Canis lupus familiaris: one gene and its partners. The protein of the gene in region 4 purifies or fractionates together with the protein of the main gene of each other region. This does not show direct contact. Links are inferred from orthologs where the notes say so. Each region holds a gene or a part of one and is shown on either strand. Other genes may lie near its edges.

Region 1 (6,146 bases), on a different chromosome or scaffold from region 4:
AGGTTCCAATTTCTCCACATCCTTGTCAACACTTACTACTGTCTTTGTTATTATAGCCATCGCGTCAGTAGAAAATGGTACCCCAATGCACTTTTAAGATGCAAAACCATAAAAATACATTATTCAAGGAAGTAAAATCTTTTCTGAAAAGGGAAAGAATGAAGAGATTACGAAAAGGACCCCATAGTCAGGCTGGAAAAGGAAGCAGGAGAGGTTTCTAAGTTTGTTAATTTCACGTCCTTAGACAGCCAACTGCCCTTCAAAGTGTCAGGATTGTAGAGCCAGCCCTCAGTTTCATAGCTGGAGCTTACAATAATCAGACCAACAAGAACTAATCTGGGTCTATGATTTATTTTACAAAGTTCCCTCCCACATTCTAGCCCATTTGATCCAACACCACAAATCTTATGTGGAAGGATATTACTATTCCCATTCTGCAGGTAGACTGAGGCCCAGAGTGGCTGACTTGGTCAAGGGAATATGGTTAAAAATATGTACATACGTATATACATACATGTGTTTCATGAATATTAAAGTGTCTTTATATAATAAGCATTAAATAAAATGCACAGAGCTGGGCCTGGAAGCCAAATTTTTTATTTCAAATCCCAATCCTTGGTGTCCCCATTTCTCATCACTTTCATCTGCCTCATCTCTGATGATCAAGAAAGCAATGGGAAAGTAAGGGAAGACAAAAGGGAGTTGTATGCGAAACAGGTAGGAGGCCTGCACATCATGAAGTCCCCCCAGTCACAGCAGCTCAGGATGTTAGGACGTGTTGTGACACGGCTTTCGAGGATGGTTGCATCCCCACCCCTTCATGAGAGGTTCCTCCAGTAACAAGAAGCCAGGGCATACTTACATCCCTAAATTCTGAACATATCATCTGTACTGTAGCATATTTAATCATGTATACTACTAGTCACTCAAATATGTATTGAGTAATAACTATGTGCTAGACCCAGTGCTAACATGGTTGAGACTTAAAAAGCAATGATTACAAAGTAAATTTAAATCGTAAACAAAATTTTCTAAGCCCTTCACATAGACCATCTCATTTAATCTTCACAATATTCTTGCAAGAGATGTGGAAACAGGCACAGAGCATTAAGTAAATTGACCCCAAAGTCACAGAACTATTCAACAATGGTGGAGGCAAGTAAGAACCCAGGCAGCCTGATTCTATACCCCATGTTCTTAACCACCACCCAATCCTTCCTGGCAGATCTCGCTTGGCTGAAAGTCACATGTGGTGACATGCATAAACCAATAATACTGATTAATTCCAGCAACCATTGTTGAATGCTCATTAGTACAGAAGCTCAAGGGCAAATTCCCACAACAACCCCATGAAGTGCTTATCTTCATTGCCACTTTATAGATGAGGAAACAAAGGCTCAGAGAAGTGAGTTAACTTGTCCAAGGTCACAGAGCTATAATAGCTAATGCGGACATGGTGCTTACTATATACCAGGTGCTGTTGTTCTTTTTTTTTTTTTTCTTAATATTTTATCTATTTCTTTGAGAGAGACAGAGATAGCAAGAGAACACCAGTGGAGGTGAGAGGGAGAAGCAGGCTCCCTGCTCAGCGGACGTGGGGCTCCATTCCAGGATCCAGGGATCATGACCTGAACCAAATGTAGCTGCTTTACGGACTGAGCCACCCAGGCGCCCCCAAGCACTGTTCTAAGCACTAACTCATCTAATCCTCATAACACTAGGAGGTGGGTTCCATTATTACCCAGCATTCGTAGTTAAGTAACTTGTTCATGGTCTCAAGCTTCTGTAAAGGGCAAACCCAGGACTCACTCTAGCAGCTGTCTTGGAAACTTAAGGGTGACCACTGGCTACAAAGTGGCTAAGCAGAAAATCAAACCCAGGTCTAACTCTTGAGTGAAAGAGAGAGAGCCTCCTTTCTTCTTTCCACCAAGCTAAGCGTGGCCCTCAACCCTACTGCAGTACAGGAAGAGGGGAATAACAACTGAAGACCCTCCAAAGAAGGGGCATTCAAGTTGCCTCTTGAGGGCTTACGTGCTTACTGGTCAAAGAGAGGCACCATGCAGTTTGTTATTTTAAAAGAAATGCAGGGCGCCTGGGTGGCCCAGTTGGTTGTCTGACTCTTGGTTTTGGCTCAAGTCGTGATCTCAGGGTGGTGAGACTGGTTGGCTCTCAGCGAGGAGTCTGTTTTCTCTCTCCCTTTGCCCCTCTCCTCCTCTCAAATAAATAAATGAATCTTTCTTAAAAAAAAAAAATGAAAAGTACCCAACTGAGGTCTTCAAAAAAGAGGATACAGTAATGAGAAGCAAATAAATTATTAAAAAGCAAATGTTTCAGATTGAATCAGGAAAGCTTTCAATTTTTATTCAATGAGAAAATACTCTTGATGAAGGAAAAGCAAGCCTTTATTCCCTTTAATTTTGATTACGCATTTAAAAATCATTGAGGGATTGAAGAGTGCAATTTGCCTTCTATAACGTTAAACTCAACAAACCCTAACTTCCAACATTTACTTCCTCAATGTAACTGCTGCAAGCAAAGTGGTTACTAAACCTTCATAGACCCTTTGCAAAGATGACCTCTCCTTCAGGTCCCGAAACTGAGCGTCTAGAAACCAAAATGAGCCTGGAGATTCGGGCCAAGCTTCAGAAGGAACGGGCACGCGCCCCGTTCCAGCTGGGCCAGGGGCCGGCACGCAAGTTGCAGCTCAAACTGGCTTCAGAGCCAGTCCCCCCCCCCCCCCCCCAGCCCACGGCAAACTGATTTATGACCGTACGACGGGCAGCTGCGGAACTGGTCAGACCGCAGAAGTCCATTACTCAAACACCAATCCAAGGATGGCCAGGATGGGATGCGAATCGGTAAGGGGAGGGGGCTGGGATCTGGGGTTCACTGCCTGTCCCGGGTGCGGTGAGGCCGGTCGCTTCCTAATTCCTGCAGCAGCCCGGGGCCTGTGGACTCTGCTCTGCAAAACCTGTGCGCTGGCGGAGCTGGCGGGGCTGCAGGGCGCCGGGACAGGGTGCCTCCACGCCCCCTCGCGGACCGGCCGACGACGGAGGAGGCCGTGCCGATTTAGTGCTGGGTGTTTTTCCGAACCTGGGGTTTAGCGCCCCCCCCGACACACACACACACACAACGCCCCGTCAAGGGGGTCCGGGCGATCAGCCTCATTTTACAGATGCAAACGCCGAGGGTCGGAGGAGCGCAGCGGGGCTTGCCGGCCAAGTGGAAAGCCCCGAGTGGAGGCAATGGCCGGGTTGGCCCTCTCGTCGAGGAGGCTGGAGGGCTGCAGCGCCTGGGGCGCACACCCAGCCCCTCGCCCTCCCGACGCCCGAGGGGTCGGCCGGCAGCCCGGAGGCCCGGCAGCGCGCAGGTGCCCGGCGGAGCGCGCGCGGGGCGCAGGGCTGCAGCGGCGGCCGAGGCGCAGCGCGCACCCCCGCTCCCCTGCGCGCGTGCAGACCGCAGGGCGCCGGGCTGCAGCAGCCGGGCAGGGGCGCACCGCCCGCCCGAGCCAGCGCGTGTGCGCGCCGGGCTGCTGCCGACACGGGCTGGCGGCGCCCCCGGGCGCGCCCCGGCGCCGCCCCGCGCCTTACCGTAGCTGCTCCCCGGTGACCAGGACCTCAGCCATGCGCTCCAGCTCCCTTTGCTGCGCCCCGCCGCTCCCGCCCGTGCTGCCGTCGCTGCCGCCGCTGCCCCCGCTGCCGCCCTCCATGCTCGCGCCGCGTCGCTCCCACTGTCTTCCTTAGCCGCCGCGGGTTTGGGTGTTAAATCAGCCTGCCCCTACGGAGGCCTCCCCCGCCATCTTTGTTAGGGGCAGGCCGGCGGCTCAGCCGCGATTGGCTGCGGAGGGAATCCCGGTGGGTGGGCTGGAGCGCGAGGCTGGTCCGCCCCTGGGACTCGGGCTTCGGGGGCGGCGGCTGGAGCCCCGCGTGGCCGGGGGCGGGGCCGAGGGAGCAAAATATAAACATGTGGGCGGGGCTCCGGGGCTGCGGGGCGGGGGCTGCGGGCCCCGGCGGCCACCTGCCCGGGGCCGTCCCCTCCGAGCGCGCGGCGGGGCCTTGCGGACAGGCCAGGAGGTGACAGGCGTAAAGGTGTTGCTATCATCCTGTCTGTGCTCCAAATGGCCCGAGTAAAAACACGAGCAAAATAGCTAAATAGTGAGCACTGGAGGATCCACACGTCACCGCAGCGGTGGGTGAAATTAGGCATTCTCGTCCCCATCCCCCTGCACCAGAGGCAGCTTCCTAACCTCAGAGCGTAATCAATAAAGAACGCGGGCCTGGGAATCAGGCAGACCTGGGATCCGGCTCCGCGCCTGTAATTTCCTACCAAAATGTGCTTCATCTTCATTTTCTTCTTTTGCAAAATAAAGATAATTGTGGCTGCCACTTGTTGACATCTACTGCATTAGAGTAAAGGGGTATCTGTGTGTTGAGGTTTTATGCAGCTTTTAACAATTTTTGCATATATATATACGTCTCTGCACCTTTACAGGTATATGGGATTTTTTTTTCTTTTAGTGAAAACTATATGGAAAGACAATCTTTTAATTGCAGATTTGTTGTAAGTCTACAGAATAAAAAATGAAAATGGGAGGGCTGTGGAGAAACAAATGATTTTCTTTGTATATTTTATACCAATTCTACTCAAAACTGTTTATACCCACTCTCCTTCAGGCTTATTGTATTTTATTGTTGTGTTTTCTTCTTGTCATTTGTTTTTAAAGATCACTGTAGCCTTTTCCAACATTCTACAAGATCATTACTTAAAATTTACAACAATTCATTGAGCATTTATTGTGTGCTTTATATGTTGTTAAGCACTTTATATTATTTACTTTATCCTCACAAAAACCCTGAGAGTTGGGTATTATTATTGTCAACATACAATTGGAAAATCTTAAACATGCAAAGGTGAAGTGATCTGCCTAGATTTCACACCTAGAAAGTCCGTTAGGCAGCCCTTGAGCCCTAGGTCTGGAGACTCTCAAGGTTATGCTCAACCATACTCCAGAAAGAGAACAATTGTCCAACTCCCTTATAAATTCGACGATAGCAATTAGGCAATTCTTTCACAAGAGAAATTATCTAACTTTTATAACTTTTAAAATAAACCATGGCAAAAGTGTAGAGCAAGCAAGACATAGTTCAAAATGCATGTTATTCTAAGAGCTTCATTCTGTATAATATATAAAAATCATTTAACAGGGCGGCCCAGGTGGCTCAGCGGTTTAGCGCTGCCTTCAGCCCAGGGGTTGATCCTGGAGTCCCGGGATTGAGTCCCTCTCCCTCTGCCTGTGTCTCTGCCTTTCTCTCTCCTGTGTCTCTCATGAATAAATAAATAAAATATTTTAAAAAATCATTTAACAGAAGTAGAGGTCCCAGAATTAATGAGCTTAACAGCTGGCTGTCACTTACGTTTTAATTGTATAACATAGAATGTGCTGCTTACCTTCTCAGAGCCTCCATCTCCTGACAGGAATAATAATTCCTACCTTATATGGATGTTGTGTGGCTTAATAACATTGTGTGAAGCTTTCATGTACATAATATGTGTTTAAAAGTTCTCTTTAATATCTTTACTGCTTTTATTTTTTTAAATATTTTATTTATTTATTCATGATAGACATAGGGAGAGAGAGAGAGAGATGCAGAGACAGAAGCAGGCTCCGTGCAGGGAGTCCCATGCAGAACTCGATCCTGGGTCTCCAGGATCACACCCTGGGCCAAAGGCAGGCACTAAACCGCTGAGCCACCCAGGGATCCCTCTTTACTGGTTTTAATAAGAAGAAAAGGAAGGAGGAGGAGGAGGAAAAAGAGGAGGAAAGAGAAGAAGGAGAAGAAATTCTTGTCAGATACTTTCCAGGAGGAGTTTTTGGTGCAAGGTAAAACACCTTTTCTCACATTATCTCTAATTTTTAAATTATTAGTAGGCCTTGAAAATGAAGGAAGGAGAAGTACAGACCTGGCCACCCTAAATCTCTCTTTTATTTGATGATTTTAAGCTTTTTGAAAGTGCAGAATGAAAAAATTAAGGTATTACAAATTCTTCATTATCTATCGCTCAACATTTTTATTCAAAAGCTCTGGCTATGTATTGTAAATCATCACTACTCTTGATTGTCTTTTTTTCTTCCTTTAAATCTAGTT
Region 2 (6,287 bases), on a different chromosome or scaffold from region 4:
AGTATGGAGAACAGACTTCTCCCTCCCAACTCTCCTGTATTTGTCAATATACAAAACTGAGTTGCAGCACACTGTATGCCCTCCATATATGATGAAATCCTTTGGCAGTGTTTTCAAATTATCCCTTTCTCCTGCCATCACTGTGACCTAAAGTGTCTTGCTTAACTGAGTAATGAATGTCAGCACTGAAGTAAGTATTGTGATCCACCGGTGTCCCTACTTCCTGCTCCAAGTCAGCCTGCATATTCTATTTAGCTTAAATATGTATCATAAACATACACATTATATTTAATACAGCCTCACTTAACTCTAATGGACTCTCTTACTCTACCAGTTGGAGCTCTCAGCTTTAATTCTGGGAGTAGATTTTCATTTCCATCTCTGCTGTCCTCACTGCCTCCTCCATCTAGAGCTTATGCTTTCTTCAGGGTCCAAGTAAAACTTCCTGTTCTGAGATTTGTGTGCATGTGTGTGTGTGTGTGTGTGTGTGTGTGGCAGTGGAAGCACCTTGATCCAACATCGTTCCTTGATTCTAAATGCCCTAGCGATTCCTATGACCTTTCACACTATGCTGGATGTGTTCATATAGGTCTTTGATTCGCTTTCTGATAACCTCGGTTAATGTTATTTTCTTGACCTTTCTTTCAATAATGAGCACATTGTTTTAATATTTAATAGAGTACAGGTAAAGCTAGTAACTTGACAAGCAATTTAGGGATAAGTAGTTAACTTCTGAGGTTTAAATTGCTGTTTAAAAAGGGAGTTGTAAATCGCTGGTCTAGATGGGAACCTTTCACCTCGGAGTAAGAATGTATTGGTGGCTGTTGGGTGTTTGGTAGATGGATTTTTGCGTTATTTCACAGTTACATCTCACATGCACAACCTACTCTTGCACTTATTCTATGTTCATAACCGTGCTTCCATTTGGGCACACGGTTATTTTCCTCTGTGGCTTCCCGCCGCATGTAATCCTGACATTGAATTGGTCGGGAATACAGCTGAGCAACTGGACGATGATTTAGGAAAAGGTGGGAAAATTATGGCTTAAATCACCAGACCAAGACTTGAGTCATTAAAAAGTCTGAGCTAATTAAAAAAAATCATACATATAATATATAATATTATGTTAATATATTAAATTTACTATTAACATAATATTATATTAATATATGATAATATATTACAATATTATAATACTAAATATACATATATAAAAGAAACACGGTGTCCTTAGGGTTTTAGACTCAACAGTTCGTAGGTGACCCGGGGTCTGACTCTCAGCATGGAACCCCAGTTCGCATGAGTGATGTTCGCATCCTACCACTGCACAGTTGCATCCTATAACTAACTATATAACTGCGTCCTGCTAAATAAATTCGGCCCAATCTTGACTTCCTCGACAGACGAGAGCCAAAGGGGGAGGAGACTGTGCCCTAAAACCCGACACGTCCCCGATTCCTCCCGGTGCGACAAGGTTTTCCTCCAAGATCACCTAATGATCATCGAAAAGGGTTTTCGTTTTCCAGAAGCATTAGCAGGAGGCGAGGGAACCACAGCGGTCCTTGAGCAAGGATTCTCTTTCATCTTCCCTGCACGCCGACACGCGCGCTGCCAGGGTCCGGGCTCGGCGTCTGCCCCGGGCCCAGGTGCGGGGCGCCCCTGCAGCCCGGGTCTCTAACCCGGTGCGCCGCCCCCGCCCCCGCCCCCGGCCCCACCCCGGCCCCGGCCCCGGCCCCGCGCTCCCCGCCCGGCCCGGCCCGGCGCGCGGGGAAAAGAGCGCGGCAGTTGCAACCGTTACCACCCCCGAGTTTTGAACTGGTTCAAACTTGGCTTTCGGCCCCGCCCCGCCTCTCGGGCCCGGGAACTCCGAGGCGGCGGTTCCCGCCAAGCGCCGCGAGCGCGCCGTCCCGCCCTCCGGCCGGTTCCCGCCACCCCGCCCTCCCCGCCCGGGCCCGGCGCTGCGCAGGCCCCCGCGTCCCCGCCCGCCCGCCCGCCCGCCTTCCCGCCTTCCCGCCTTCCCGCGAGGCGCCGTGCGTTCCGCCAAAGAACAAAGAAACGGCGCGGCGCTTCCACTCGGCGGCCGCGTCCCTCAGCGCCCGCCCGCGCCCGCGCCCGCGCCCGCGCGCACGCGCCGCCCGCCCGGCCCGGCCGAGTCCCGCGGGCGCCTCTGCGTGGGGCTGGCGCGGCGCCTCCGAGCCCGGCGGGCCCTGTGATTGGACGGGAGCCCGCCGCGGCCCGCCAATCGGGGCGGCGCTTAGTTGGACAGGGGGGGCCAAATAAAAGCGCTGGCGATTGGGCTGCCGGGTTTGGCGCTCGGTCCGGGAGCGCCCGACACCCGCTGGGACGCAGAAGGCGGTGGGGCCCCGGCGGCGGCGGCGGCGGCGGCGGGAGCGGCGGGAGCGGGAGCGGGAGCGGGAGCGGCGCGGGCTGGGCGCGGGGCGCAGGTAACGCGCCGCTGTCGGGCCGGCCGGCGGCGGGGCCCTGGAGCCCGGCGGGGGGCGGCGGCGGCGCCGGGACATCCCCAACGCCGCGCTGCCCGTGCGGGTGTCGCCCCGAGCGGGGTGTCGCGGGCGCCGGCGCGGCGGGCGGGGGGCGCGGGGATGCCGCGGGGCGGGGGCGGGAGCGGGGGCGGGGCGGGGGCCGGGCGGGGGCCGCGGGCGCCCGAGGCGGGGGGCGGGGGCGGGGGGGGCGTGCGGAGGGGTCGTCCGCGGGCGCCGGGCTGGCTGGGCTGGGGGCGCCCGCCGTCCGCCGTCCGGGCGCGCGGGCTCCTTTGTGTGGAGCGCCGCGGCGGGGCGCCCGGGCGGGACGGGGCGCGGGGCGCACACAAGTTGGTGGGACCGCGCCGCCGGGCGCGCACGCAGACAAAGGGCGGCCGGCGTCTCGGGGCAGCCCCGCGGGCCTGACAGCGGGCGGGGGCGGCGCGGGGAGCCCGGCGGCGGGCGCTCGGCCCCTCGCCTCTCGCCCCGCGCCCCCTCCCGCGCCCCGCGCCCCCTCCCCGCGCCCCGCGCCCCGCGCCCCCTCCCCGCGCGCGGGCCCGGCGAGCGGAGCCGGGGCTGGGGCGGCCGCGCGGACGAGGCGGTGCCGGGCCGCCCTTCTCCTAAGTTTGCGGGCAGGGCAGGGCCGGGCAGGGCCGGGCAGGGCCGGGCCGTCCGCCCCGTCTCGGCTTCCTGGGCCTGCGGGGTCCCCTCTCGCCCTCCCTCCCCTCCCCCGTCTCCTCGTCCCCACGGAGTCCGTGCCGCGGGGTCCCTTTCGGGAAACGGGACGAGCCGAGGAGCGTGCTCTTTTCGGAAAACTTGGGTGAACTCGGCGCGTCTCGGGGAGTTCCCACTTTGCAAAGAATCGCCGTCCCCAAGAGAGAAAAGCAGCCGCGGGCCGCCCTGGCCAACCGGTGGGGTGCGTCGGAGGGGGCGGCAGGTGCCGAGGAAACCCGCTGCCCCGCAGGCGGCCGGCCCCAGGCCCCGCGGCGGGACGGCGGCGAGCACCCTGCGGGCGGGCGGAGGGGCGGGCGGGCGCGGGACCGACGCGCGTCTGGAGGCTGACGAGCTCCTTCCCACGGACGGGTCTTAACTTCCCCCGAACAATAGGTTTGGGGAGGCAGGAAAGCCTGGACGCAGACAGCGTGTGTCGCCTAAGAAACCCAACGTGTGCTGCCCGCAGTCAAGCTAAACTTCCTTTGTTTGCAGCACAGGACCCGTAAAACTTAAAAGATCCGTGTGGAAATAACAACCCGGCTCTGGAATTGAAAAGTATTCCACACGGTTTGCTTTCTTGGTTCCGGAGCTCAGCGGTTGCATTCTTTGGCGTTTGAAAATTACCTAAAGCAACCTTTGGGGAAGAAGAAGAAAAAAAAAATCTTAAAAAAAAAAAAAAGTCCAGTGCTCGTACGGTTGAATTATGATCTGTACTTCTCTGGGGCTTTGGAGGTGGTTTTTCATCACTCTTCTTTCCGTGAGCATTAGCAACTCTTTTTCATATTTAGGAATAAAGTGGACAGGTGTTCAGAGCCTGACCACTTTATTGATGATCTTATATGCAGGAAGACGAAAATGGTTGAGATGTATCTTGATGTTCTTTTCGTAGGGTCTAAGTTGGGGCTAGATGGGATTCTAGTCCTATGTGTAAAGATTCCTGTATGTGTTTTTGTAGACCGATCAGGATACGGGATGTTTAAACTCTTGGAAACTTAGGAAAATTGCATCTTCCTTTCTGATTTTTGTGGAAACCGAACATATTCAAAGAAAAGGAATTTAGAGACCCACAGGCACTCTTCTTTATTTGCGTTCTGATAAAGAGCTAATGTGCACCTACTGTCTTCTGGTTGCATAAAAATGGAGACAAAAGAAACGCAGTGTGAAAGTCTTTATTACGAATATTTTGCAGAGACTGTTGGACACCGTTGAACGGACGTCCCAGGTGCTGCCTCAGGGTTGAGATGCTTAAATGATGTTTAGATTTAGTTGCTGATAATTATCTATTAAAAAGTCCTGATAGTTCTTGCCCACTGTTAGGAGATGAGTTATGCAGATCTTGGCAGAAATTTGGATCTTTTAGGATAAATTCTAGTTTTTCCCTTGTGTATTCTGTAATTGATAATTACTGTCCTTATACGTGCCACAAAAATTTTTTAAAAAGCCTTTTTGGGGCTTTGGCTTAGATTTTTTTTTTTTTTCTGGTTGAATTGTGAGTATATACAAGTCACTTTTAAGTAGCAGTGATTAAAAAAAAACACTTGTTGATTTAGGGCAAAATAAAAGTTCTGAGACATTTATGATAGACATAAAGAGAGAGAGACAGAGACAGAGAGGCAGAGACACAGGAGGAGGGAGAAGCAGGCTCCATGCTGGGAGCCTGACGACAGACTGGATCTGGGGACTCCAGGACCGAGCCCTGGGCCAAAGGCAGGCGCTAAACCGCTGAGCCACCCAGGGATCCCCAGTTCTGAGACTTTTATGCCAGCTTTGGCTATTTAAAAATTTTAAGCAGATTTCTCCAAGTCCTAGTGACGTTTTTCTAGATTATCTGCCATCCCTTGAGCTGGCATGCTCAAGGAGTGTGAATTTCTGTATTGGCCTAAATAGTGATTAAGAAAGTTGATCTGCTTCTTAGAAACTGACAAATGAAGTTCTTCTAGCGTCTAATGTATTCTAAGGTCAATTAGAAATGATACACGGATTTGCCTTGGATTCTTTATGTCCCTACAAACGATGAAAACATTTTCTGTGCATTATGAAAGATTGCATATACAGGTGAAATCTTTCGGGGAGAGCATGAGTGGAGATGAACAGCTCATTAAATTCAGAGAGAGGTTCACAATCAGATGATACCTTTGCCTTCTAGAGGCCTTCCCCGAATTCCCAGGCACCCTTGTGTTCCACAGGGCTTTGTTCATACTTTTATTATAGCGTGTATCAAATTGTATTGTAATCACTTGTTTATGCATCTGGCACCTTCACTGCGCTCTAAGTGCTTTGAGGCAGAGGCTCTGTCTTGTTTTTCTTTGTATACCTAGTAGTTGCTGGAGAATAGAGGGTTTAATAGTTGAATGAAGGAAATATGGGGGAATAATTTGACAAAGGAACTTTGCAAAGCATACTACAGGTTATGTTAATGTTTATATTGTGATGGAACTTTGGAAGGTGTTTTTCTCCCTCTTTGAGATGCAGCAATTGTAAAGAAAAATAATCATCAATGTGGGTAAGTTTCAAGGTTTCTCCTAGTTGTAATACTCTAAGATACTCAAAATTCTATATCCTTTAGGTATTCTTTTGCTATTCATATTTGGTATTTCAGGCAGCTAGAGAGAAGCTTGATGAGTCGTCTGGATACCTTGCATATAGTATCTGCTTAATTTGATTTGATGTCAGTATTGATGGTCCTTGTCCAAAAATAAAAGGAGAAAGTGTCGGAGACAGTAGTAAATCTTTTAACTGAAAGCTGTCTAGTTAAAATTGATGAGTTCTTTACTGGAATAATTCGTGGTAGGTTTTGAAGCTAAAACTGAAGGAAGTAGTGTCAGCGTAATTACACATCATTTATTGGGATGTTCTTCATTCTTTTAAAATGATAAGTGTAGATTAGCAATAACATCTCAAAAGGCATAGCTGATATGTTTCTAAAATGGTTCCATATCTTGCTACTACATGGTACAAAAATTTGACAGAGACAAAGGGAAAAGACAGTAAAGCGCCTACTATTTGCCAGATGCTTTATTCATTCCTTTGGTTTATTTCTTATTGTGGTATTATTTACATCTGATGCTTTATATTTAATTATTGTTAAAACCACCC
Region 3 (6,385 bases), on a different chromosome or scaffold from region 4:
CTTATCACAGGTAATTTTAAAAATAAAACTTTTAAAAATTTAAGACTCAGACTGCTCAATTTGTTGGAAGACGAGTTTTTCAACTACGTTGTCAACAGTATCCCTACTATTATTGTATGCAAACCCTTCTAGACAATGCTTTCATCTTAAAACTCTAGAAGTCAAAGCGTAGATTAGACCTGAGAATTTTTTAAATTATATTAATATTTGATATCTAGGGGCGCCTGGGTGGCTCAGTGGTTGAGACTCTGCCTTTGGCTCAGTTTGTGATCCCAGGGTCCCGGAATCGAGTCTCTGCCTCTCTCATGAATAAATAAAATCTTAAACATTGTTTTGATATTTATTCTAATAGAATATAGGTATTTTTTTGAAGATTTTTTATTTGTTCATGAAAGAGAGAGAGAGAGAGAGAGAGAGAGAGAGAGAGGGGGGGGCAGAGGGAGAAGCAGGCTCCATGCGGGGAGCCTGCTGCGGGACTCGATCCCGGGACTCCAGGACCACATCCTGGCTAAACCAGTGAGCCACCCGGGGCCGCCCGAATATAGGTAAAATTTTTTAAAGCCCAGCTATAACGCAGAGCTCGCGAATAAGCCTACGAAGTAGGTGTAGACAGTTGCTTGGTTAATAGTGACGCCCTAGGATAGAGGCTTTGGGCAAGAGCTTCAAGTTTCCATGATTTTCAGAGAAAAATGAACGGAATCTAGACCTTTTTGTGCTACAGGCTAATGAATCAGCGTTCCACAGTGATTAACAGTCCAATAACACGAAGAGTGCTACTCGGCCATTACCAGCAGGAGTGAAAAGGGGCGAGTCAGCCGGGCTACCTGAAAAGTCATCTTGAGGGGATCCCCGGGTGGCGCCGCGGTTTGGCGCCTGCCTTTGGCCCAGGGCGCGATCCTGGAGACCCGGGGTCGAGTCCCACATCGGGCTCCCGGTGCATGGAGCCTGCTTCTCCCTCTGCCTATGTCTCTGCCTCTCGCTCTCTCTCCGTGTGACTATCATAAATAAATAAATATTAAAAAAAAAAAAAAAGCCATCCTGACACTCCCGTCCACGTCTTAGGGACTGGAAGCCTCCAGGCCCCCGCCGCCGCCGCCGCCGCCGCGCCGAAGCCAGCCCAGAGCCCGGCGGACGCAGCGCACCTGGCGGAGGGGGCGGGGCGCCCCGTCTCCCCACGCGGGCGGGTCTGCCCGCCGCCGCCCCCCTCCGCCAGCCACCATCCCGTCCCCACCCGCGTCCCACCCATCGGCATCTGACCGAGAGCAGGGGCTGGCGACGAAGGGCCTATCCCCGCAACCTGCCGCACGGCAGCCTTTCTACTCCCTCCCCCCACGGCGAGTGCAGCGCCACGCCGCCTCTCCCACGCCTTAGGTCAGGTCTCTGGTCCAGGGTGGGCAGCACTTAAAAGAAAAGAAAGAAAGAAATGTTTTTAATTGCTTTCAAGCACCGCTCCCTTCCGCCCCTCACCTTCACGAAAGCAATCGGGGTTGTGGTACCTTCGACATCTAACAGGATGACGGTGACTTCGGCGGGCACGGGAAGCACGACCATCTCCCTGCCGGATGCAAGCACCGGAATCGGCCTACTAGCGGGAGGGCGGAGGGCGGCGCCCACTGCGCCCCGACACGGTCCTGGGCTGCCCACGGCCCCGCGGGAACGTGCCGCCCGGCACCCGCGTGCGGCCCGGAGCACGAGGGGCAGGGCCGCGCCGCCCAAGGCGCACAGCACCGCGGCACGGGCGTCCGCCGCCACCCAGCAGCCCGGGCCCGAGGCCGACACCACGTGGGCGGGGGGAGGGGCGGCCTCGCGGAGCCCGAGCGGGCGGGGGCGGGCACAGGCGGCGACGCCGATTGGCCACCAGAGGGCCCCGAACGCGGCCCGTCCACGTGGGCCTCGCGTGGGCGGGAACAAAGAAGCGAGCGCGGGAGCCGGGTGCGCGGGCGCGCGCGCGCCCTCCGCAGACTGGTGGAGCGAGCGGGAGCGGCCCGGGGCACGTGCAGACGGGAGCCCCGCGAGTGGCGCGCCGGGGATGTGAGTGCCCCTTGCCCCCTACGGCACCTACCCCCTCCCCGCCCACCGCCTCCGCTTTGGCGTGTTTACAGTAACCGGGCCGGGCTCGCGGCCCTCCTCCCGCCCGCAGCCTGCCGGAGAGGCCGTGCCGGGGCCGGGACTGGGACTGGCCGGCCTGACTGCGTGGGCCCGGGCTCCGGCCGACCGGCTGCGGAGGCCCCCGCGCGCCCGCTTCCTGCTCGGCTGGTTCCAGCCGGCTCGAGGACGAAACACGCGTGCGCGCGGCGGGCGGACGGGCGGGCGGGCGCGCTCGCTGTCTCGGCCGCCGGCGCCGGGCGCAGTCCGCCTGTGTCGGGAGCAGCCCGGCCACGGTGCTAATCGAGAGCAGCGGCCGCCGCCGCCGCCGCCCCCGCCGCCGCCGCAGTCCGCACTGGGGGACCGAGGGCTTTGGGAAGAGGCGGGGCTGACGGCTCTTTGCTAGCAGTGGGCTGGACCGGACGCCAGAGACAAAGGCTCTCAAGACCGGAGGGACGGTGGCCCTGCGACGGCGCTGCTCGGACTCCTGAGCCCGGGACTCTTCGCCCCTTCGTTTTCCTCTTCTGACGCTTCTCTCCTCTTAAGCCCGCGCCCCCTCACCCACGACCTCGCTCCTCACCGGGAGGGCCGCGATGGAGGTCCCGCCCCGGCTCTCCCATGTGCCGCCGCCATTGTTCCCCTCCGCTCCCGCGACTTTAGCCTCCCGCAGCCTTTCCCATTGGCGGCCGCGGGCGCCGCGGCAGCTCGCCCCGCTCCTCCCTTCGCTCGCTTCCAGCTCGGCCCGGCAGGGGGCGCGCCGGGCCCAACGCCACGTCACCGCCCAGCAGCCCTCCCGATTGGCGGGCGGGGCGGCTATAAAGGGAGGGCGCAGGCGGCGCCCGGATCTCTTCCGCCGCCATTTTAAATCCAGCTCCATACAACGCTCCGCCGCCGCTGCTGCCGCGACCCGGACTGCGCGCCAGCACCCCCCGGCCGACAACTCCGCCGCCATGGAGGACATGAACGAGTACAGCAACATAGAGGAGTTCGCAGAGGGATCCAAGATCAACGCGAGCAAGAATCAGCAGGATGACGGGTACCGCACGCCTCTCTCTTCTTTTCCCCCTCCCCCAGCGCGCCGCACGCGCCTTTCGTCCCTCTGGAGCCGCGCGCTGCCACGGCTCTTGCCCCGAGTCGATTCCCCGCGTGCCCGCTGGGCCCCACTCGCTCAGAGGGAAGAAGAAAGTAGGAGACGGAGGGGGTGACTCGAGAGGCCCGCGGAAGGTGGGGGAAGGGCGGGGGAGTTGGAGGAGGAGGGCGGCGGCGTCCGTGTCCCGAGTGCGCAGGCGCCGCGTGGGGCCCGAGGGGGAGGGGCCGGCCTCGCTGCGCCACATGCTGCAGCTGCCGCCGCCTTTTCATTGTGTCTGTATCGGGGCCCCCGCACGGCTTCCCTGCGGAGTGTAGGGAATCCTTGCTTTGGGAATCCGTGTGTGACTGGTACCCGGATCTCCTTCAGAATGCGTTGGGAGTTCTTGAGGTGGAACGTTGCTTTGACAGCTGCGGAAGAGGTAGAGTAGACCTAAGTTGTGAGGGATCAACTTTAGGAAGTTGGGTTTATAAGGCTGAAGCGATGTTGAATATGCTTTCTTGGCTTCGTTGAAACTTCGTATGACGAGGTGTGGTGAGCAAGCTGTCCATTCGTTGTTTCGAATAAGTGACCTCGATGGAATCTGAGGGGTTTTGTGGTCTTTTGTTCATACGTGATCTGTAGACACTGAATTATTTGCACACGCATTGCTTCTTCCTGTTCGTTTCGTAAACCTAATTCCCCAACTGAGGTAATCCTGCGGGGTGCTGCTAATCTTTTTTTTTTTTAATAACTTCATTTCTAGTAAAATGTTTATTGGAGGCTTGAGCTGGGATACAAGCAAGAAAGATCTGACTGAATATTTGTCTCGATTTGGGGAAGTTGTAGACTGTACAATTAAGACAGATCCAGTGACTGGAAGATCAAGAGGATTTGGATTTGTGCTTTTCAAAGATGCTGCTAGTGTTGATAAGGTAGGAGCAGGTTCCGCATTGTGCTGCTTCTGTGTTTTTGCAAATTGGGGGTTTGGTTGTATATTGTCAGATTAAACGCACTTGTCTTCTAGGTTTTGGAACTGAAAGAACACAAACTGGATGGCAAGTTGATAGACCCCAAAAGGGCCAAAGCTTTAAAAGGGAAAGAACCCCCAAAAAAGGTTTTTGTGGGTGGATTGAGCCCAGATACTTCCGAAGAACAAATTAAAGAATATTTTGGAGCCTTTGGAGAGGTGCGCTGTGTTTTTATATGTCTTTCATACTTGGAATGTTTATATACATGAGTGTTCGTCCCCAGCCTTTTACAGAATTGATTGATTTGTCAGGTGATGGGAAGAGGTTAAAATTAACTGCTTGAGTCCCTTCTAGTCACTGTACCTTAAATTACTGTTTTCTGTGCTGTGATAGAAACCAACATCTAATTTATTTTGGCCAAAACACGGGTGCTTTGGAGGTGGTGGTCAGTATTTGGAATTAATAACCAGTGGCATCTCTTGGGTACAAAATGATAATAAATGAAGTTTTGCTCTCTAACTGCTTCACAGATGAAGCTTTGTGGTGTGATACTGATAATAAAATAGGTGTTTCTGTACAGAAGTAATCTGACTAGAGGAATAGACAACATGTTATACTGAAGTTTGAAAAGAATCTTTGGAATTCTAAAACACTTTGGTAGCTTTTACCATTACTGGATGATGTTGAATGTGCTTCTTGATTTCAGATTGAAAATATTGAACTTCCCATGGATACAAAAACAAACGAAAGAAGAGGATTTTGTTTTATTACCTATACAGACGAAGAGCCAGTAAAGAAATTGTTAGAAAGCAGATATCATCAAATTGGTTCTGGGAAGGTAAAGCCATTTTGTTTTTATTAAGTGAAAATTTAGAGGATGTTTTTTGTTTTCGAATGTGAGATTTCTCAATTTATGAGAATAGAATGGCTTGACCTTACAGTAAAAACTCCAGGTTTTTTTTTTTTTTTTTCTTATGTGTATATAGTGTGAAATCAAAGTTGCACAACCCAAAGAGGTATATAGGCAGCAACAGCAACAACAAAAAGGAGGAAGAGGTGCTGCAGCTGGTGGACGAGGTGGTACTAGGGGTCGTGGACGAGGTGAGACTTAATCCTTTGGGACCTAAATCTTTGGATATGACTCCCCATGGTTTAGGCTGTAAACTGCTAAATAGGAATAAGCCCATAAGAAAATTCAGCCAGATTTCCAACATAAAAATGCTCTCATTGGTGGGTGGGTTTTTGTTTACTGGTTTCGCCTCCTCAAAGAATGGCCACTAGGACACTGTCAGTGTCCTTACTAATGGCAAGGTGATGACCATTTAATGTAGTTGAGATTACATGATACACCATGGCATGCTAGTTTTTTGGGGGACAGGAGTCCTTGTTTTGTCTTGATTTTCCTTAAATTTAGGAAGCTTGATAACTGGCACAATTGGACTTTCTGCCCCCTTTTTAACCACAACTAGAATAAAAACTTTCTCAGGTAACAATATAGCTGTCCATTCCACCTGTTAAGGGTTTTCAGAGTGAGGGCCAGGAACACAACATTGTATTAGGATTGGGAGTCAGAAGTCGTTTCCTAACAATCATTGTGCATTGTTTCAGGTCAGGGCCAAAACTGGAACCAAGGATTTAATAACTATTATGATCAAGGATATGGAAATTACAATAGTGCCTATGGTGGTGATCAAAACTATAGTGGCTATGGCGGCTATGATTATACTGGGTATAACTATGGGAACTATGGATATGGACAGGGATATGCAGACTACAGTGGTAAGAATATTTAACTTAATCTCATACACCAATGGTATTAGAATTCCGTGTTAAAGTACATTCTCGTTCTGAAATTGGGGGGGGGTCCATTCTTGAAGTGTTTTGGAGTTAAGTTTTTGAGGCATCTGATAGTCCTAGGTTGATTATCCTAATGTAGATATTTTGGTTGTTAGAAACGTTTTAGAATATGTGTTATGTGATTAGTTTATAATGGGCATTTAATATATCTGCTATTTTAATATTTGGCATGCAGAGTTGTACATTTTTAATAGTTTTCTAAAGTATTTATAATGAAACCATTTTGTGGAAAACTATCTTAATATAATTTTTTTTGTATTTTCAAAATAGGCCAACAGAGCACTTACGGCAAGGCGTCTAGAGGGGGTGGCAATCACCAAAACAATTACCAGCCATACTAAAGGAGGACATTGGAGAAAACAGGTGTGTGTAAGAGTACAAGAAACCAGTGGAAATATCTATAATT
Region 4 (5,637 bases):
GTACTCACCTGAAACGGGTAAAGTGCAGACTGTTATCTGGAAATGTAAGTGTATGTTCTGGAGGGAGAACGGGTCTCGTTCTGGGCACTGGGAGGCACATTTAAGAAATCCCAAATCAAAATAGTGTCATCATGGGAGCTGCTGATGATCTGAAATTCATCAAACTGTAGCCGGAACACACGTCCAGAATGTTCCTGTGAAATTTAACAGCTTGATGAGTAAAATGAAACCTTTAGAATCCCTCGTATCTCATGATCAGTGATTTGGTGCAGGCTGAAAATGTAGCTACTTATCCAATGCTTCCTAAATAATATTCCAGAGCTTACTGAGCTTTGTCCTTTACCCTGGGAGCAAATACCTTGGCTTTTCCTTCTAAGCCTTTTTTTTTTAATTAATCTTTGTATCGGAGATCCTGGCTCATTAATATGTTGAAGAAAAAAACTATGCGATCACTTCGCCAAGGATCTTGGAAAGGTAAACAACCATATTAAATACCCATGCATGATACACTGTAAAAAGCAGAGCCAGAAGGATGTTTTTAACATTACCAAGAATATCTCAACCACAGCCAAAATCAAAATTAATGGTGAAACAGAAGCATTCTCATTAAAATAAAGAAAAGAAAAATAGTCCTAATCACAGTACTGCATGTTCTAATCAGTGCAAGAAGCAAAAAAATAGAAATAAAAGGTAAAGCTACTGAAAATAAGAACAAGTCTATCAATATTTTCAAACAACTGTCTCCTCATTAATGTAACAAAAGCAACCAGACTATTAGAAATAATGAGCCTGCCAAAGTTGCTAAAACAAGATTAACACATAAAAATAAGGTATTTTTATATGCCAAAGCAATAATCCATACAATATAGATTAAGGGGAAATTCCATCATAATACAAACATGTGCTATATTATAAAAATATAACGTAACCAGATACCCATATTAAGAAATCTCCCAAATCTACAGGAAATACTTTGTACTCTAGAGGAAACCAATCCACCTACAAATGAGGATGCCTGCTTTCACATATTAAGTTGTATTAATGCTCCTTGGGAAAGAGCTCCCTGTAATGTAAATGTCAGTTATTCTCTGCTTTTGGCTAAACAAAATGAACAAAACAGCGCATTTCTCTGAAGGCACACTGTGATGAGATACACAAGCTTTCTTGTGATACACCTAGGCAGGTCTATCTGCAGGTATCATCTTCCAGGGCAGGAACCACTCCCATTTCAACAGATTACATACCACCAATGTGCGCAAACACAAAGTGCTTGCTGGGGCTCGAGGGTCAAGAGCAGCTTGCAAGTCCCAAACTTTAATTTTCCTAGAAAATAAATGGAGATTGCGATTAGTAGAAAAGTTAACAACATTTCATATACCGTCAGGAACTTCCTTGATAGAAAAAAGTACATCTGAACTGCTATTAGAAAAGCTAATGGAGGGATCCCTGGGTGGCGCAGCGGTTTGGCGCCTGCCTTTGGCCCAGGGCGCGATCCTGAAGACCCGGGATCGAATCCCACATCGGGCTCCCGGTGCATGGAGCCTGCTTCTCCCTCTGCCTGTGTCTCTGCCTCTCTCTCTCTCTCTGTGACTATCATAAATAAATAAAAATTAAAAAAAAAAAAAAAAAAAAAAAAAAAAAGAAAAGCTAATGGAGACTGCTTATGTCGTAACAAGTCATTTAAACCATTTACACTTGATTTTGAAAAAAAAAATAAGGACCTACACATTCTCGGAATTATTGAAACTGTGAAGAAATATTTTTTAAGGGAGATGAGAAAACAACTTCAGGCTATCTAAATTCAGTTCCTGACCTGATAATCTATGTCACCAAATTCATTAATCAGAGGGCTTTCTGGAGCTGAGTAGGTGCTGCTGACAGAAGCTAGGACTCTCTGTGAAATTCCAAGGATACCTTTCTTCGAACTAAGCAAAGGAGTATAAACAGACCAACTAGTCCATTTGTGAAGTATACATAAAGTCACCTTGAAAGGTTTACAGTTGCCATTTGCTCATTTAAAAAGTCCTGAGGCTTTTTTAAAAAAGAGTGTTTAACCAAAGGGTAAAGGAAATGGACCACTGAACACACACACACACACACACACACACGCACGCACACACAGCTAACTTAATTTAGGACTGAGGCAAAGAATGGAATTCCTGTACAACCTAAGCTACTTACAAAGTTTACAATAATGGTTACACTAATGGTTAAAAGTGTAAGCATAGGAGTTACAGAAGCTATCCTACTGTAAGACTTGGGGCAAGACCACTCATCCTTCTGGGCCTGAGCGGCTTCACCTGATCAAGTGGTATAATAACATCTGCCATCCATTACACAGATCTAGCACAGAATTGGCACATACATAGTTGCTTAATATACAGCGCTTGTTTTTCCTCTAGATACAGTGATAGTAGTGTATTTAAAAATTTGAAATACATACCCATCATAGGCCCCACTGACAATCCTCTTGTTATCAAACCGGATGCATCGGACCAATTCTTCATGTCCCTCTAGGACTCTTAAACAGGCACCACATTCAATATCCCATAGCCTTGAAAGTAAAACAGATCTCTGTGAAACAACTTCCCACACATGATTCACACTATCCTTGAGTTCTTCATGTCTGTCCCATTCATGATTTTCACTCTCCTGAACTTGTTTCTATCTTCACTCCCAGTCCACATTATACACGTAGAAAGATACATATGTATATTTAGATCATTTGTATATTTTAAAGCACTAATTTGGCGGACACAGGGCTAGCTGAGTCAGAAGAGCATGTGACTCTTGATCTCAGGGTCATGAGTTCGAGCCCCATGTTAGGTGTAGAGAATACTTAAATAAATAAAAACATTTTTTTTTTTTTAAAGAGACTAAATTGGGTAGAAGCCTTCTCATTATATTTCCTTTTATTCAGTTTTTTAATCACATGCATGTATTACTATTCTTTTAATTTTTATTCGGCATTCTTTTAATGTCTGAATTGATGAAACCACGTAGCTAAATGGTATAACAAGGACTTTCCTGGGGGAGACAGGGATTGCAGGCAGTAAAGAGAAAGAAAAGGCATGTGTGTGGGTTGAGGAGAGGATATAGTATGTACAGCCAGGGGTGTTAGGCTTCCAGGCCAGGCACTTCTGGCCTGGAATCCATGAGGCCTGCTAAAGTTAGAACCAGTACACGAGGGGCACCTGGGTGGCTCAGTGGTTGAGCATCTGCCTTTGGCTCAGGTCATGATCCTGGGGTCCTGCGATCAAGTCCCACATCGGGCTCCCCATGGGGAGCCACCTTCTCCCTCTGCCTATGTCTCTGCCTCTCTGTGTCCCTCATGAATAAATAAATAAAATCTTTAAAAAAAAAAGAACCAGTTCATGAGCATGGAGGTTTCCCTCTCCTGATGAGGCTTAGGGACACCCCCTCTTAGATGATACTGCATATTAGGGTTGTCCAGTTTATGAGGTCATAGTGGGAGCCTCTTATTAGGTATATGAAGCATCTCAGAAATATAAACCCACACAATATCCAGACTTTTTCTTGGTGTATGATTTATATGTGAAACTGAAATTTTCACATTTTTCTATCATTGGTTTTCCTACATTGTTTGCAAAAAGAAATCATAAGCACGTACAAAACAAAGTTAGCAAACTAATTCTGTAACAACCTTTTCTTAGCCTCTCTACAAGTAGCTCTTACCATCCGCCCCATGAATATTTTATGACAGCCACCCTCAGCAAATCTTCTCATCAGTGTCAGGGACACTGGCTTCTCTAATCTACTGTGAACAGTGTCATTTAGCACTACCACTGACTCCAAAGTGGTCCCCTCTATAAACTGTAAAGGAATACACATTATCACTTTGTAAAACCTCAGAGAGTCCAGTGAGAAAGTTAAGGACTGTCTACTGCTGAAATAGTTAAGTAATAGAAAGCATCAAGACTCAGGTTCTCATGGTACTTTCATAATACCTTAAAAACTTAAAACGATAAAACTCACAGCAGTTTCGGCTCTATCATTGTGGTTTCATTCCCTCCTTCCTTCTTTTTTTTTTAAACCAATCTTTATTTTGCCCAAACATTAAACAATTTGGTTAGAAAAAAAGCCAGGACAATGGAAAAATGACTAAGGATTAGTAAACAGATATTTAAGATAAATATTATAAAATAATATAACAAAGATTAAATATTTAAGATTTTTTTTAATATTTAAGATATTTAATAAAATGTTTAAGGTCTGTCATATTTACTAGAAAGCAAGGTCACTGAGTGTTGGGAGATAAAATACAGGCATAACAGGAGTGGATGATCCTGTAGCACAGTCTTGTACAAGACAAAGTACGCTCGTCCCATGTGCTAGTGAGGAAGAGAGGAGGTACAGGTAAGGGAAAGTGGTGAGTCAAGCCAGAGCATCCTTTGTTCTGAGGGGTTTGGGTATTAAGGGATCTTGGGTGGAGCAGACGTTATAAAACATGTGTCTTGGGGGAATCAGTTTATCTGCTTCAGTATGCAGAGCCAAACAGATTAATAAAAGTCATATACAGTTTTCTTACTTGAAGTATCCCTGAAGGTTCAAAGTCTTTCGAACATCAAGACTGGGAGGAGTCAAAAATATGGCAAAAATCGGCCTGCTCTGGCAGCACACCAACTTCTACCCACCTTATGGTATTATCTGATGATCCACTAACAACCAGCCGATCCCTGTACTGGAGACAGGCAATGCCTCGCTTGTGCCCATTCAGAGTACGAACAAATTCACAGGTACTTGTGCTCCAGACCTGTATAATAGATTATCAGTATTTTAAGAACAAATGCAGAAAAGTCCCCTCACAATTCACCTTTTTACAAAAATCAGAGCTTCTGAGAATGACCAAAATACTTGACTATGAAATATGATTTGGGGGCTGGGGGACAGATTGGCCAGCATACAGTTTTCTTGGCTGTGGAGGGATAAAACAGGAATGAAACACAGGGAAGCTGTGAAGTCTCCAAACCTTGAGATATTCACAAAGAGAACATCTCCTGGATGGTTCAGACATTCACTTGCCTAGAAGGAAGAGTGTGGGCCAGATTTTATGTTTTCATGCCAGCTGACATGTCAAATCCAATGTAACTGATGTGAAAAAGTTTCACCTTTCACATCCTCCTCTTTTCCAGCATAGTTGCTTGAACAGCTCCATTTGTTTTGACACATCACTCCTAATATTATGTATGTGGAATAAATAATCCCTCTTTTGTGAAACCATCTGCAAGACTTAGATGTTCACAGACACACTTAATATATTACAAGCCAAATAAGGAGATGCAAAGCAACCGAAGTGCCCTGAATTATTTTACCAGCTGCATTTGTAGTTGAATGGGATAACTAGATATCCACATGCAAGAGAATGAAGTCAGACCCCTAACTCACATGATACACAAAAATTTAATTCAGAATGGATCAAAGGCCTAAATGTGAGAGCTGAAACTATGAAACTCTCAGAAGAAAACCCAGGAGTAAATCTTTGTGATCTTGGATTAGACAATGGTTTCTTAGACATGACAACAAAAGCATAAGCAACAGAAGACAAAAACTGAGAAACCGGGCTCCATTAAAATTAAGTTGTCTGTGTTTCAAAGGACACCACCAAGAAAGTGAAAA

The links. Proteins that work in one complex are often made in the same cells at the same time.
Region 1: the proteins of FBXW11 (region 4) and DEPTOR purify together in Homo sapiens (affinity purification with western blotting; 4 studies listed by BioGRID, with this or other methods). This does not show direct contact. The link is inferred for Canis lupus familiaris from reciprocal best matches to the Homo sapiens genes FBXW11 and DEPTOR.
Region 2: the proteins of FBXW11 (region 4) and EZH2 purify together in Homo sapiens (affinity purification with mass spectrometry; 3 studies listed by BioGRID and IntAct, with this or other methods). This does not show direct contact. The link is inferred for Canis lupus familiaris from reciprocal best matches to the Homo sapiens genes FBXW11 and EZH2.
Region 3: the proteins of FBXW11 (region 4) and HNRNPDL purify together in Homo sapiens (affinity purification with mass spectrometry; 3 studies listed by BioGRID and IntAct, with this or other methods). This does not show direct contact. The link is inferred for Canis lupus familiaris from reciprocal best matches to the Homo sapiens genes FBXW11 and HNRNPDL.

The regions. Positions count from the first base shown.
Region 1 is NC_049234.1:19,243,779-19,249,924, reverse strand, and holds the start of DEPTOR (DEP domain-containing mTOR-interacting protein), read right to left. Parts: upstream 3,899-6,146; 5' UTR 3,710-3,898; coding exon 3,591-3,709; intron 2,859-3,590; coding exon of another isoform or gene 2,764-2,858; intron 1-2,763. Other genes in the region: reticulon-3-like, read left to right, coding at 2,764-2,858. UniProt on the Homo sapiens protein: Negative regulator of the mTORC1 and mTORC2 complexes: inhibits the protein kinase activity of MTOR, thereby inactivating both complexes. DEPTOR inhibits mTORC1 and mTORC2 to induce autophagy.
Region 2 is NC_049237.1:1,578,775-1,585,061, forward strand, and holds the start of EZH2 (histone-lysine N-methyltransferase EZH2), read left to right. Parts: upstream 1-2,389; 5' UTR 2,390-2,444; intron 2,445-6,287. UniProt on the Homo sapiens protein: Polycomb group (PcG) protein. Catalytic subunit of the PRC2/EED-EZH2 complex, which methylates 'Lys-9' (H3K9me) and 'Lys-27' (H3K27me) of histone H3, leading to transcriptional repression of the affected target gene.
Region 3 is NC_049253.1:33,592,184-33,598,568, forward strand, and holds the start of HNRNPDL (heterogeneous nuclear ribonucleoprotein D-like), read left to right. Parts: upstream 1-2,487; 5' UTR 2,488-2,678; coding exon 2,679-3,121; intron 3,122-3,917; coding exon 3,918-4,086; intron 4,087-4,178; coding exon 4,179-4,340; intron 4,341-4,828; coding exon 4,829-4,960; intron 4,961-5,108; coding exon 5,109-5,223; intron 5,224-5,730; coding exon 5,731-5,901; intron 5,902-6,249; coding exon 6,250-6,320; 3' UTR 6,321-6,342; intron 6,343-6,385. Other genes in the region: ENOPH1 (enolase-phosphatase E1), read right to left, coding at 1,468-1,551. UniProt on the Homo sapiens protein: Acts as a transcriptional regulator. Promotes transcription repression. Promotes transcription activation in differentiated myotubes. Binds to double- and single-stranded DNA sequences. Binds to the transcription suppressor CATR sequence of the COX5B promoter.
Region 4 is NC_049225.1:41,239,810-41,245,446, reverse strand, and holds part of FBXW11 (F-box/WD repeat-containing protein 11), read right to left. Parts: intron 4,775-5,637; coding exon 4,656-4,774; intron 2,555-4,655; coding exon 2,444-2,554; intron 1,324-2,443; coding exon 1,245-1,323; intron 195-1,244; coding exon 33-194; 3' UTR 9-32; intron 1-8.